Linked DNA regions of Caenorhabditis elegans. The protein of the gene in region 2 interacts with the protein of the main gene of each other region in a pairwise test. Each region holds a gene or a part of one and is shown on either strand. Other genes may lie near its edges.

What was found.
Region 1: the proteins of eif-6 (region 2) and unc-10 interact in a two-hybrid assay, tested with the Caenorhabditis elegans proteins (one large-scale study listed by BioGRID).
Region 3: the proteins of eif-6 (region 2) and cla-1 interact in a two-hybrid assay, tested with the Caenorhabditis elegans proteins (one large-scale study listed by BioGRID).

The regions. Positions count from the first base shown.
Region 1 is NC_003284.9:7,277,201-7,282,205, reverse strand, and holds the start of unc-10 (Rab-3-interacting molecule unc-10), read left to right. Parts: upstream 1-1,883; 5' UTR 1,884-1,904; coding exon 1,905-1,973; intron 1,974-2,122; exon of another isoform or gene 2,123-2,261; intron 2,262-2,306; coding exon 2,307-2,356; intron 2,357-2,415; coding exon 2,416-2,549; intron 2,550-2,603; exon of another isoform or gene 2,604-2,688; intron 2,689-2,728; coding exon 2,729-2,799; intron 2,800-3,213; coding exon 3,214-3,401; intron 3,402-3,514; coding exon 3,515-3,851; intron 3,852-3,908; coding exon 3,909-4,053; intron 4,054-4,162; coding exon 4,163-4,251; intron 4,252-4,458; coding exon 4,459-4,514; intron 4,515-4,561; coding exon 4,562-4,743; intron 4,744-4,802; coding exon 4,803-4,902; intron 4,903-5,005. UniProt on the Caenorhabditis elegans protein: Regulates the efficiency of a post-docking step of the release pathway. Acts after vesicle docking likely via regulating priming. May regulate the conformational changes in syntaxin.
Region 2 is NC_003279.8:12,967,097-12,970,807, forward strand, and holds eif-6 (Eukaryotic translation initiation factor 6), read left to right. Parts: upstream 1-1,849; 5' UTR 1,850-1,863; coding exon 1,864-2,136; intron 2,137-2,185; coding exon 2,186-2,293; intron 2,294-2,566; coding exon 2,567-2,926; 3' UTR 2,927-3,139; downstream 3,140-3,711. Other genes in the region: pbs-2 (Proteasome subunit beta), read right to left, coding at 292-546, 605-1,183. UniProt on the Caenorhabditis elegans protein: Binds to the 60S ribosomal subunit and prevents its association with the 40S ribosomal subunit to form the 80S initiation complex in the cytoplasm. May also be involved in ribosome biogenesis. Involved in miRNA-mediated gene silencing.
Region 3 is NC_003282.8:7,608,755-7,613,782, forward strand, and holds the start of cla-1 (Protein clarinet), read left to right. Parts: upstream 1-1,925; coding exon 1,926-2,008; intron 2,009-2,081; coding exon 2,082-2,143; intron 2,144-2,521; coding exon 2,522-2,590; intron 2,591-2,684; coding exon 2,685-2,998; intron 2,999-3,888; coding exon 3,889-3,933; intron 3,934-4,205; coding exon 4,206-4,255; intron 4,256-4,300; coding exon 4,301-4,348; intron 4,349-4,468; coding exon 4,469-4,885; intron 4,886-5,028. UniProt on the Caenorhabditis elegans protein: Required for synapse development in the active zone of presynaptic terminals of specific neurons including serotonergic NSM neurons.

The DNA.
Region 1 (5,005 bases), on a different chromosome or scaffold from region 2:
ATTCGTTCCGATAGCGTTCCGCTAATAAACAAGAACTCTCAAATGTCTCTGATATATAACAAATCTGAAAAGTATTAATGCACTTCCAAAAGGTAATCTTTATCTTTGAAACATCACATTTACCCATCTAGAAGTTTGTTAATTCTGTTTCTTGTCAGCTATATGAATTGATTCATAACGGATTTTGTCCGCCTTTTATATATCTTCTCATAGTTAATCTAATCTTCAAATCGTGAAAACTCTTTTCATATAACACATTTAGAAATCCAGCCGATGGAATAGGAAAATAGTATATATATATATATATATGGATATGGATATATAAGTGTTGCGAATGTTTAATATTCTCTTTTTTTGAAAAGTTTGTTCGATTGTTGAACAAAAATGTTTTGCTTTTGCTGTGAGTTTTAATAATTAGTTACTTCATAGTCCTAGTAGGAATTCTGAACGTATCTGAAAGGGCATTGAAGGGGCGTGAACTTTTTGGAAAGGTGATCCCTCGTCCTGTTCCCTGTTTGTCTGTCCCCTGTCCTCACCTCCTTCGTCTTCTTTTTCTGTCGTTTTATACTTCTCTTTGCTATGCATTCATGAACAGATAATCCAATTTGAGGCTGAGGCCTGCGTGTGTATGTGTGTGTATGTGTGGAGGCCCTCCAACGAAGAAAGAACAAAACTTGGCAATCTTGAGCATATTGGATAAGCTGCCCGCTGAGTTGCTAATTGTCAACGTTTGGCACAAACGCCACATAGAGCCATCTCGGGATGGAAAGGGAGAGAAGACTGGTTGGGGGAGAAAAGAAGGGTAGAGCCTTTGGAGCATTTTTGTGTTTTGCGGGCGTTGCTCCATCCCTTCGTCGTTTTCTCCACCCTGCGTTTGCGCATCAGTCGCCACACGCCGCTAGCCCCCGAGTCCTAAACCCCTCCCTCCCATCTACACACATCCATTTATTTATTAGAAGAGCTCTGAGTAAAACATGAACTATTCGCTATCCGTGGCCTTGTTTTATTCATTGCTTATATCGCATTCGCCCGGGTTTTCCTCCTGGGCGCGCCTTGTCTTTTTTCTTTTCCTCCCGTTTCACCTCCGTTTTTCCTTTCGCCCTCTTTCTCTTTCCTTACGGATACGGGAGGCTCCCCCCACCCCTATCTTCAAACCTTGTCTTTTTTCCGTGCTCAGGGAAACGAGCATGAATTCATTGTCTCAAATGAATGTCTCCTTTTGTGCATCATTAATCTTGCATCGAATTTTGCTTTTTATTCTTACATGCTTTTGTCCACTTTGCACAAGCTGTCCATTTTTTGTCAATTCAAACATCAGCTTGAACCTTTACCTGTCCATGGTTGGCCTTTTTTTATGGCGAAACCTGGCGAACCCAATATCCATCACCCTTCTATTCCTTTTCTTTTCCCGTTTTCCTTCGCTTCCCACTTCCCCACCTCCTACGCTTATTTCTTATTCCTTTCCCGTTTTAGTGCTCTCTTTCTCTTTTTTGCAAAAAGTTCTTGATAGCAGTAAAGAAAAGAAGAGGAAGACTATTTTTGGATGTCCCGAGTTTCCCACGGTATTCATCGACGTCGTCGTCGAAAATGACCACATCCAGTCTTACTGGGCGCTCATGTCTTGGAAAAGGCGTCATTTTTCAACGTTTCTAATCCCGGACGCTCTTATTTTTCCTCTCTCGGTTTCCCCATCTTTGACGCTGTTCTTTTTTTGTTTCAGCGTTGATCCTGTTTTCTTGTTGGCCTTTATTGACATACAACTCTTAAACCGAACAAATTCGTTTCTATTCTTTCTATTCGGATTGTTATCGCGCTTTAGTCTTTTTATACGCTATGATTTCACATGATGCAATAACTCCTTATTACCTTAAAAATCAAACTTCAGTGCCTCATTAAATATAATCATGGACGATCCGTCGATGATGCCGGATTTATCCCATTTATCTGCAGAAGAACGTGAAATAATAGAAAATGTGAGTTGTTCCAGCACGAACCCCCTCCCCCCCCCCCCCCCCCCCCATCGTTCATTTTGCCCATCCGTCTGCTTCTTGTGGGGTTCAAAAAAGTAGTTGGTGCGGTGTGAGTCCTCTGTCTCGGAGCATGACGGGCCCCCCGAGGGGTGAAAGAGCGAGAAAAGGGGAGGGGTATTACTTACAACGCCGTGAGCACACGCAAAATAATGGATATGCAATCAAACGAGTGTGTGCTCTTATGTACATTCGACAAGAAAATTGGCATGATATCATGCGTGCACATACATATAGAGAATACTCACTCAGAACGCTCATGATTTATGTTTTTTGCAGGTCTTCAAACGACAAAAAGATGAGGAGGCAAAAGAAACACAAATATCACAGTAAGAGTTTTGTAGACACATAATTGCATTGGTATTTCTTCATGCGAATGATTTTCCAGAAAAGCATCTGAAGAATTGTCAGAGTTAGACAAACAGATCACGGAGCGGAAAGAAACATCGAAAAAGCTGGTTGGCACACAAGATGACGCGATCTGTCAAATCTGTCAGAAGACCAAATTTGCGGACGGAATTGGTACGTTGTTCCTTTTCCTGAAGAAGCGATGAGAGCAAAGGGTCCTTCTGTCGCCCTGAGATGAGCCTCGTTTTCTGTTCCTAGTAATTCTCTCCGCGGCGTCAGAGAGCCCCTAACCCTTGGCTGTCATCGTCTCTCTAAAAGGACATCAATTTAGCACAAGATGAGAGGTTTTTCAGGCCACAAGTGCTTTTATTGTCAATTGCGTAGCTGCGCCAGATGTGGAGGTAGAGCACAGAGCAAAAATAAGGTACGAGCGGGAGTGAAAGTGTGGGATGAAATAAGGGGAAACATGAAAGAGAAAGGACAAATTCTGGATGACTGCATTTGAATAACAGAATAAAAACCAATTTGAGCAAAATCGACTTGAACATTTTTGCGATATGATGTTGCAATGTTTATATTTTCACAAAAAAAATCTAAACTTTACAATTTATTATAAAATCATGTTTAATTTTATAGTTAATGAATCTAATTTGGAAATCAAGCGAAATAATCGTTTTTACATCTAAAAAAATACGACAGAAGCTGAAAAACAATAGCATCCATTGTTTGCAAAGTAGTTTGGAATAAAGAGATAAATAGAAAGTATTAGCCCCGTGGGTGCACCGACCGATAAAAAAGTAGAGAAGTGAATTGAAGAGAAGAAGTAAAAAGCTTTCAGGCAATCTGGGCTTGTTCGTTGTGCCAGAAACGTCAACAAATTCTTGCCAAAACAGGCAAATGGTTCCAACCCGAAGAGCAGCCGCAGCCGAAAATTAGCGGCTCCGAGCCAAGCCCTTCGCCCCAACCACTAACTGACGACAACGTACCAGAACCGCAGCAGAGGCGAGCAGAGCCGCCTGATAAAATGTGAGTTTCTTCCGGTTTCTTTTACTTTTCCAAGTTTGTGTTTGATTGTTACATGTTCCTTTGAAGCGTTAGTTTCAATCAATCACAATTCAGACTAATTTTCATATTTTCAGGAACACTCCAAATTATCAAAACAACCAACAACCCCGTGGAATGGGAATGCAGCCAAATCATAATCAAACTCAGCAGAATTTCATGAATCAGAACCAAAATTCAAATCAACATCCAAATCAAAACCACAATCAGAATCAAATGCAGAACCCGCATCAAAATCAAAATCATGTTCAAAATAATCATCAAGGAGCCAACAATCATCAACAGAATAATCGAAGAGCTATGCAACAACAGCCAATGAGTCAAAATCAGGCAAATCAGATAAATCAGATGAATCAAAACCAAAATCAACAACAGAGCCACAATCAGAATATGACTCAAAACCAGAGAAACCAGGTACTTGAAGTTGGAAAGTTCCACGATTATTTCAAATTCTACATGTAAATAATTCAGACTGGCCCCCAAAACCAACAAAGGACAAATGACTCTCGAACTATGAAACAAACGCCTCAACAGCAGCCCAGTCAGTATCAAAACAACGTAGGCGCGGCACATCAACACCATAATCAACATGGACAACAAGAGCAGCATCATCAACGTAAGAGCCTCCAGGGGTATAAAAAGAGAAAGTGAAAAACAAAACAAAAAAGTGTTGTGCGCTAAAATTGCGAACGAGACGCAAATTGATATAGTCTGGATAATTTCAGAAATGAATGAACAACGGACGGATAACAACAGAATGAGAGAGAATACTAACGGGCAAGGAGGAATGTTCAATAGGCAGCCGTCATTAGAGGTGAAGGGATCAGGGATATCAAAAACGAGCTTTTGAAAAAAGATTGAGCAGCTTATTATTAGGGTGATACTTCTGTAAAAGTAATGAACAAATGTGAAGAATCATCTAGAGCGGAAAATTTGGTCAGAATTACAGTACTGTCGTACAAAGTTCAGAGTAGAAAAATATATTAAAATGAAAAAAAAAACGAAATTGTTTCTAATTTAGCAAACTACGCCCATGAACAAATACAATCACGTTGAGGATGATGGCATGAACCAGCGGTAAGTATCCCATAAAGTTTAAAAACTTGATACCCACTTGCTTTCAGACCCACGTTCTACACTGGAAATTCCGAGAATGACCAAAGACAATTTGATGGCCAAATGCAACAGGGCTCACAACAAAATAATCAGAATCAGAACCAAAACAACCGAAATCTTAGAAAAAACACAGTCAGCCGGGTAACAGAGGAGGATTATGCAAGTTCGTCAAACTTCGAATCTAAGAAACGTAAGATGATATCATATCGATAATACCTTGCTAAATTCTATTTTGAGAATCAATTTCAGAGCGGAACAACTCTTCACAGAGTCAGTCCAACACGCAAGGCGTGCGAGCATGTCCTTCTACTGACGACCATTTGAACCGGGTGAAAAATCGATTGCATAGGTGAGCAAGTGTAATTTGGCTAATGGAAAAAATAGACAAACTCAATTGAGTAATGTCTTTTTTGTACTAAGTGCTCAAGCTTTGAGTTCATTGCTTTCCCTCT
Region 2 (3,711 bases):
TTTTTTCCTTTTAAAACCCGGAGAGTAACTTTTACTATTGGGAAAAACACTTGAAAGCGTTTTTCAAGTCATTTTTCCGGCTTTCAGTCCAAATTAAGACAACAAACAATACCAGTTTTAAGGAAAATAGACAGTTTATATTCGGAATTTATAAAACAAATGTGATAAGAACTGCCGGCGGATACGAAAATACCGAAAAAAGTAATCACCGACGACACCGAAACGGATGGAAAATCGAAAAAAAATAAATAATTGGGGGAAAGAATACACACATCGACAGAAGACCGCAATTTAGTGAGTGATATCCATGGACTCGACGACGTCGTACTTGTAGGTCTTGTGTTTCAGCACCTTGGTGGCTCCGGCCTGGAATTTGTAGACGAGGTCGTTGGGCTCTGGTCGCTTGCAGAATTCTGGCACAATTGGCCCCTTGAAGACGGTCTCGCTTGGCTCGATGATCACAAGATTCAAACTGTTTCCTGAGGCGTTGTCACCGTGCATACCGGCTTCCAGGGCGCGTTGGACAAGCTTCTCGGCTTCATCTTTCTGAAAAATATAATTATAGTATTTTTAGCGCATTGGAATTCAAAAATAGACTACTTACCGTCATATCAACCTTAAAATCACGCTCCAAAATAGTGATAGCTGCATATGATCCAGATCCTTGAGCTGTGAATGGGAAGGCCATTGTAGTTCCGTTGGCGGAGCACATATAAAGATGTGGGCCAGTTGGATCGACTCCTCCAATGAGCAAGTAGGCTCCGATGTATCCTTGATAGTTGAAAAGATGCTGCTTAGCTTGACGAAGAGCGGTGATCACACGAGCCTTGCGCCCGGTGTTTAATTCCAGAAGACGGAGATTTCCAGAGAGCATCTTTGTGACTTGATCGAGATCGGCGGCGGTTCCGGCTCCGCAGGCATAGATCGACTCAGTGAGCTTGTGAACCTTCTCGCAATGCTTATCGGCGATGATATTTCCGGCGGTGGCACGGGAATCAGCTCCCATCACAAGTCCGCCCTTGAAGGCAACGGCGACGATGGTGGTTCCGGTACTGGTGAGCTTTGGAGCCTTTCCGCCCATCTTGCACATTGCCTGATTACGAATGCAGTTGGAGAAGTCGAACGCGCCTCCACGGTCCATGTCCATGTGTGGGACGGTGGATTTGACGTCAGCGGTGGCCATTCTGGAATTAATGTTGTATTTGAAAAGATCTCACAAAACATTTTGAGAAAAAAAAACAATAAAAATGACAGGAAAAATACGGAAAACCATCTAGAAAAAACTGATTAACGAAAAACTTCGATTTCCCTGATTTCTGCTGTCTCACAAGTGATTTTCTGCAGATAACCTATTCAATAGCGAACTTCCACTTAATTTCTACAAATTTTTAATCAAAAATACGCTAGAAAAGCAGGAAAAATGGTGGAAAACTTCGAAAAATGTTGGAATGCTGACAAAAAGATTTTTCAAAGTCATCGCAACGACACTCCGAAATAACGCAAATTTGTAGAGTTCCGTGGAGCGTGTTTGCACCAAAAAATTTCCGTTAATTTTATTTTATTTTTCAATTGAAAATCTCTGCCTAAAACTTTTAATCTTAAGTTTTTCATTGACTTTTTGAGTTTTAAAATTCAAAAATTGAATTTTTCGTTCATTTTTAAGTAATTTCATATAAAACTGCCTATAGAAAATGAAAATTCCCTGTTATTCAATATTGCACAACATTTCGAAGCTCCGCCCATTTGTAGTTTGTATTTGTCTTGCTAACACCCATTCTTTCTCGTTTTTCCAATCAATTTTTACTATTTTCTCGATATTAAATCAATTAATTTTCAAAAAAAATTCCAGTTTCCCGGTTGAAAATGGCTCTCCGCGTCGATTACGAAGGATCGAACGATGTCGGTGTGTTCTGCACCCTCACCAACAGCTACTGCCTCGTCGGCGTCGGTGGCACTCAGAACTTTTACAGTATTTTGGAGGCCGAGCTCAGCGATCTCATCCCAGTCGTGCACACGTCGATCGCCTCGACCAGAATTGTCGGAAGACTTACAGTCGGAAATCGTCACGGACTTCTCGTACCAAACGCCACGACTGATCAGGAGCTTCAACACTTGAGAAACTCGCTTCCAGATGAGGTATGCGGGCAGGAAATTGAGAATAAATATTTAAAATTTGAATTTTCAGGTCGCAATTCGCAGAGTTGACGAGCGTCTTTCCGCTTTGGGAAATGTTATCGCTTGTAACGACCACGTCGCTATTGTTCACGCAGAAATTAGCGCAGAAACTGAGCAGGTAAGGAGAAATCCTACAGAACTGCGACTTTCAGTGTGATATTCCCACTTTTTTAATCGAAAGTTAGTAAAGAATCGTCGAAAAATGTTCGATTGTTCTGAAAATGATATTTATTTTTTGTTCAAAAGTTCGAAAAAGACCCAAACTTTAGTCGGAAACGGACAATTTTCATAACTTTCTTATTAATTTTTGATTCAAATGCTTGGCTTAACATACTGAAATTAACAATGTTCACACTACAAACTACAAAAATTCCTAAATTTTCTCTTTCAGGCGCTCGTCGAAGTGCTCAAAGTGGAAGTATTCCGTGTCAGTCTCGCCCAAAACTCGCTCGTCGGCAGCTACTGCATTCTCAGCTCTAACGGTTGCCTCGTGGCCGCCCGTACTCCACCAGAGACCCAACGAGAAATCGCCGCTCTCCTTCAAATCCCAGTCGTCGCCGGAACATGCAACCGAGGATCCGAGCTCATCGGAGCCGGTATGGTCGTCAACGATTGGGTCGCATTTTGTGGACTCGACTCCACTTCTACCGAACTGTCCGTCGTCGAATCGATCTTCAAGCTCGGCGAGCAAGGAGCTCCGACAAGCATCAGCAATCAGCTCAGAGATACTCTGATTGAGAGCATGCTCTAATCTTTTTTCTCACTATTTTTTTGATCTACCATTCATTGTTTTCCCACCTTTTTTGTTGTTGGTTTCCCCGTTTTTTGTTGTCAATGAAAAAACCCCTGAAAAATTCGAATTTTTCTCTCTTAATTCCTTCTTTGATGTCAAATCCTCACAAATTTATACCTTGAATTTCACTTTTAAAAGTACTTTTTACACGCTATAAATTTAATTTTCGCTTGATTTCAGAAGAACACACATCAACTAAACCTACTAGGTGAGTTGGACTCCACTACAAACTACACACAAAACCCTGTAGCCTGAACCAAAAGAAATCTGCCTAATTTATAGAGTCCGACGTAGCGAAAAAGATCACGAGAGAGATAGTACGAGACGCTGAGAAAATGCGCGATCACATTGCCTTAAAGGAGTACAGTGTAGTGATAAGGAGAACTATTCTTATCACTACTAATACCCCAATTTTTTTCAGAACTTTCCGTTTCAAAGTTTATTTCGATTTCTTTTTATTTGATTTTTATTCCAGTTTTTTGGCGTAAAAACTGGAATTTTGACTGAAAAACTGCAATTTTTGTAGATTTTTAGTGCTTATATATTTTTGGAATTCGACCTTTCAGCTGCTTTTGGCAATTTTTACCTGTTTTATTTGAAATTTTAGCACGAAAAACTTAATTTAGGCGAAAAATACTCAAAAATGTGCTGAAAAATAGCATAAAACCTAAAATTATGCGTTTTTCGTATGAACGAAACCCGTAAATTTCCGTCGAAAACTGTCAGTTTTGGAGTTTGTTTTG
Region 3 (5,028 bases), on a different chromosome or scaffold from region 2:
GGACTAAAGAATTTCTTCGGAAAAGCTACCCAGTCGGTCATGCATGCTACAGATTCTGTGATAAAGAACGTTCAAAATCAATCAAAGCAATCTCTTAGTGGTCTAACCCAAGAAGAGCTAGATAACATTGCACAGGCTACTGAAAGTGCTCAGCAAGAATCTAAGCAAGAGCTCACACAAGATGAAATAGATCACATTGCCAGAATTAATGCTATGGCAGCGGAAGACTTTGAACAACCCGCAGTTAATATGAATCAAGGATTGTCACAAGCAGAGAAAGATCATATCGCTCGTATTGAGGCTATGGCAGCGGATGATTCACAATCTAAAATCATTGTTCCTCCTCCTTCAATTATCCAAAAAGATATTGAACTTTCAATGGAAGAAATGGATCACATTGCTCGAATAGCTGCAATGGCTGACGAGGACTTTACACATCCTGTTAAAGGAGCTGTCGCGCCAATTTATGATGAAAATTATAGTAGGGACGATGGTGCAATTGATAGATTCCCAGCTTCGACAGCTACTCCAGTGTTTGCGCAGCCGTCTGAAATTGAACTTTCTGAAGAAGAGCGTGAACATATTTCCAGAATCGCTGCAATGGCTGAAGAAGATTTTAATACACCATACGTTTCAACACATCCAACACAGCAAATTGAAATAGAACTAACGGAAGAAGAAAAAGAACATATTGCAAGGATCGAGGCGATGGCTTCCGAAGATTTAAATGCGCCATCTCCCTTTATCCAACAAGAGCAACGAGTTGCGACAATGCCAGTGCCAATTAATTATCATGTTGAAGAACCAACTCTATCGCAAGAAGAAATTGATCACATTGCAAGAATAACAGCTATGGCTACTGAAGATAACACTGATCTACAAACTCTACCAACTCCTCAAGTTAAACAAAATGAACCGGAGCTCTCCCAAGAAGAAATAGATCACATTACTCGAATAGCTGCAATGGCAAATGAAGACTTTGGAATGTATCCTTCAATTGTTTCTGAACATCCTGCTCCAGTTGAATCTGAACTTACTCAAGAAGAACTTGATCATATCGCTAAGATCACAGGAATGGCATCTATGGACATCAGTACTCTACCACCTCCAACAGGAAAACCATCCGAGACATCACTTACTCAGGAAGAACTTGATCATATTGCTCGCATAGCTGAAATGGCATCAGCAGAATATGATGTTCCTGTAAAAATATTCGAACCACCAGAACTAACTCAAGAGGAACTTGATCATATAGCAAAGATTACTGCAATGGCTGCACAAGATGTCCAACTTCCTGCCACCCAAAGATCGATTACTCATAAGGTTTCGTTGACTCCACCTCCTCCTCCTCCTTCTAAACACTTTGAGCAAGATCTCACTCAAGAAGAGCTTGACCATATTGCAAGAATTGCTGAGATGGCTGATATGGATTATAACACTCCATTCACTGCTGAACCAGTTCAAGATGAAGAAGAAGAACCAATAACAGAAAGTGGATCAGATGCAACATCAGGTGCTGATATATTCGATGAACAAGAAGATGCAAGTTCAGGCGCCAGCGGCTCCTTCGATAACAACAATGCTCAAGTGCTAACGAGCGGCTTCTCTCCAGATCGAGTTACATCTCCTGCTGCACTTGACACAACTGAAGAGCCCCAGGGTCCTATTATGGCTCAGAAGGTGAGAAATAGACGTTGTTTTTTGTGTGCGAGCTGTTTCTATTTTCCCAGCCATAAATACTTTTTTTTCACATTCACCATGTTGCTATGCATGCCGTGGCAATGCAACGGTGTCATTAAATATTATGCAGATAGCGTGACAACTCCCAGATTTTCAACTTTTCCCCTTTTTTGACTACTAAACACTACTATCCAACAGGATTTTATGATTTTCAGACTGTGTCTCCGACGCCATCAGCAGATTCGATGGCGTCACGGAAGAGTAGTGAATACGACATTAGAAGTATATCAGAGATTAGGCAAGAGTCCGAGTCGGATATCGGAAAGTGGTATGCTGAATTTTTAATAAACCTTTTTTTTTCTTTTTGAAAATTAGTGTTTCAATTTTACTATTTTGTTCAGGTATGAGGAGCAACTCAGTTTCATGCGACAATCGATCCACGATGAGGAAGAAGATGTGGGGCGTAAGTGGTTTAAAAAAAAAACTTTTATGCGCTTCAGTGTAGGTACACAGAGGCCTACTCACCTACCTAGTATAATTTGCTAAAACAAATTCTACTCGACAAGAGAATTTCTACAGCAAAGAAAGCAAAAGCTAGATAAAATGTTATCAAAAATATTTTACAAGAGTGTTTAATTAATTCTTAATTCTACAAAAAACAATTCTAATTGCAATCAGCAGACTTTTATCTGAACTTTCAAAATTTTCCACTATCCACTCTGTTTTTGACTCAGAAAAACGTCCAAATAAAAGAAATGACTGAATATAATTTCATTAGACCTATGTAATACAAATATTACATTTTTCTTCTCTATTTACTTTTTTATTTTTGAAATTTCAGATGAAATTCGAACTGACGTTGAAGAGTTCCCATTGGAGTATGTTGAGGATCAACTTCACTTCCTTGAAGGTGAGTTTTCTGTCAAAAATGAAAAATTCATAGCACAAATCAAAAAGCGAGACGAAGAGACCAAATCTCAAAGCAAAAAAACATATATTTGCAGGTATTGACGTAGAGAGCCAACACCATGAGCCCACCACTTCTTCTGCCTTCTTTGGCACCGGAAGATCGATTGGTGAAGGGGAAAAGAGAAAATATGGTGACGACGCCGTGGAGCAGCAAAAACTGGAGAACTACGAAGAGGAGGAGAAGACGAAGAGTAGTAGTCGTGAGGCTTTTGATGATGGATTTGAGACGCAGAGAGAAGAGTCGTTGAGGGCGCAGCAGACACCCATCGATTCACTGCCGGGTAGTCGTATGTTGAAGCGACCCAATTTCGGCTTCCTTTCTAATATTGCAAATGATGCTATTAATAAGGTAAGTAATTGAATATTCACTATGACCTATCAGACTTCACCGTTTGAAAAAAGACCATGAACAAAAAACTAAAACTCAAAAGACTACGTTTTTGAAACTGTAAATGCGCGAAGCTATTCAAAATATTTTCAGTCACTATAGAAATTGTTATTTTTTTTAGAGCTGTTTGACTGAAAATAAATAATTGTCCAAAATTGTTTGACAGGTTTTATTATGATATTTGGTATGGATATTTGAAATGATTTTCCAATAATGTAGAACATATTATGTTGCAACAATTTGTTTTTTTCTGTTATATTCAAATTTACTGTTTTCTAGAAAAAAAACATAGAAATTATGTTAACATCTAAGAAACTCTTCAATCAGCATTTTTTCTTAAAAATAACTAACTTTTACATGCAACATTTTGAGAATATGAGTAGTTTTTTATACACACAAATTTATATATTACATGAATTCATTTTCAAAAAAAAAAAACCATTTCAATGTCAGTATACAAAACCAATTTCGCAGTGTCTTTGACTCTCCAAGAGCAGCTACGATGGGCTCGTTACTCACGGAATTCGACTTTCCGGTCTTTCCAAAATAACGCAAATGTGTTGTTCCCTCATCCAACAAACACTATACAATCATTTGTTCTTCCTTTTTTCTTTTTTTTTTTTAGCGGTCACACATACACCATTCCAAAAGATGTACCCATCGTTTTGGTCTATTTTCCACTTTTTTATGTTTTGTTGTATGTGTCGCTTATGCATAAATGTAGGGTGTGCAACAAAAAGAAACACTTTAGGATTCGGCTCGGGGGACCCCCATGCCTCATTAATTTTTTGCGAGAAGACATGCGTGTGCTCTTCTCTCCTTGTCACTTTCGATAATTGCTCTTTTTGCAGGCAAAGGAAGCGGGTTCGCAAATCCAAGCCGCCGTACCCATCAAGGTGAGTGAACTTTTTTCTTTTTATTCTCTTTCCGTAGGGCTTCCGACCCAATTCAATTATGGTAACACGATTTTGATCTAGATCTCATGACTAAACGCTCACGAGTTTTTCACTTGATTGATTACTTTTTTTTGAGAAACTGCTTTTGGTATTAATATTATAAACAAACAATTAACTAATTCACAAAACGGCTAATGTTTTTAAACATTACTTCTGTAAATTAATTTTTTTGAAATAAATTAAATAACCTCAAAATAATAAAAACTTTTCAGCCATCCTCTTCATCATCAAATATTGTCAACAACAATGTCTTCTCTAGCAGGTAATTGATATTTTGTCAAGTCAACTATAAAAAAAACAATTTCAGCAAATCCTCAACCTCCCTAGGCACCAGTGCTCCAACCAAATCTATTCCGTAAGTAACATAAAACATTCCCAGTATATCAGATTACTCCCCGCACGTACACTTTTCTACCTCCCCTCTTCTTTTTTCTTTTGATTTTCATTTCCTAAATGGTTAATTTTGAAATTACAGCTCTCCACAAATCGGTATTCCGATGGATGGTCTTTCCGAAGAAGAACGTCGACAAATCATGTCAGTTATGGCTGCAGCCGACTTTGACGATTCTGTTAATAATGTAAAACCAAGCACAAGTGGTTCATCAAATATTCCAGCAGGAATGGAGGATCTTTCGGAAGCAGAAAGAGAAAAGATCATGTCAGTTATGGCAAATGCAGAAATGGAGATGGGCGCACGTTTCCCTCCTCCTTCAAGTCAAATTCCAACAAGATCTCCCAGTGTTATGAGTTCAAGTATAATGTCCGAATTACCACCTGGACTCGATGATTTGTCAGATGATGAAAGAATGAAAATTATGGCAGTTATGGCAGAAGCTGATATGCAGAATGTGCGAAAACCCATTGCAAGAGGCCCACCACCAATGCCACCAAGGTTAGTTAGCCGACAATGAGACACCAAAATTTTAAGATTATGAAACACAATGAATGCTTCAAATTTCACTGAAATTATTTCTGGGAATTCAAAAATATGAAACACACCAGGGCATTGCGGCAAGCGGATATTCTTGGCGATTT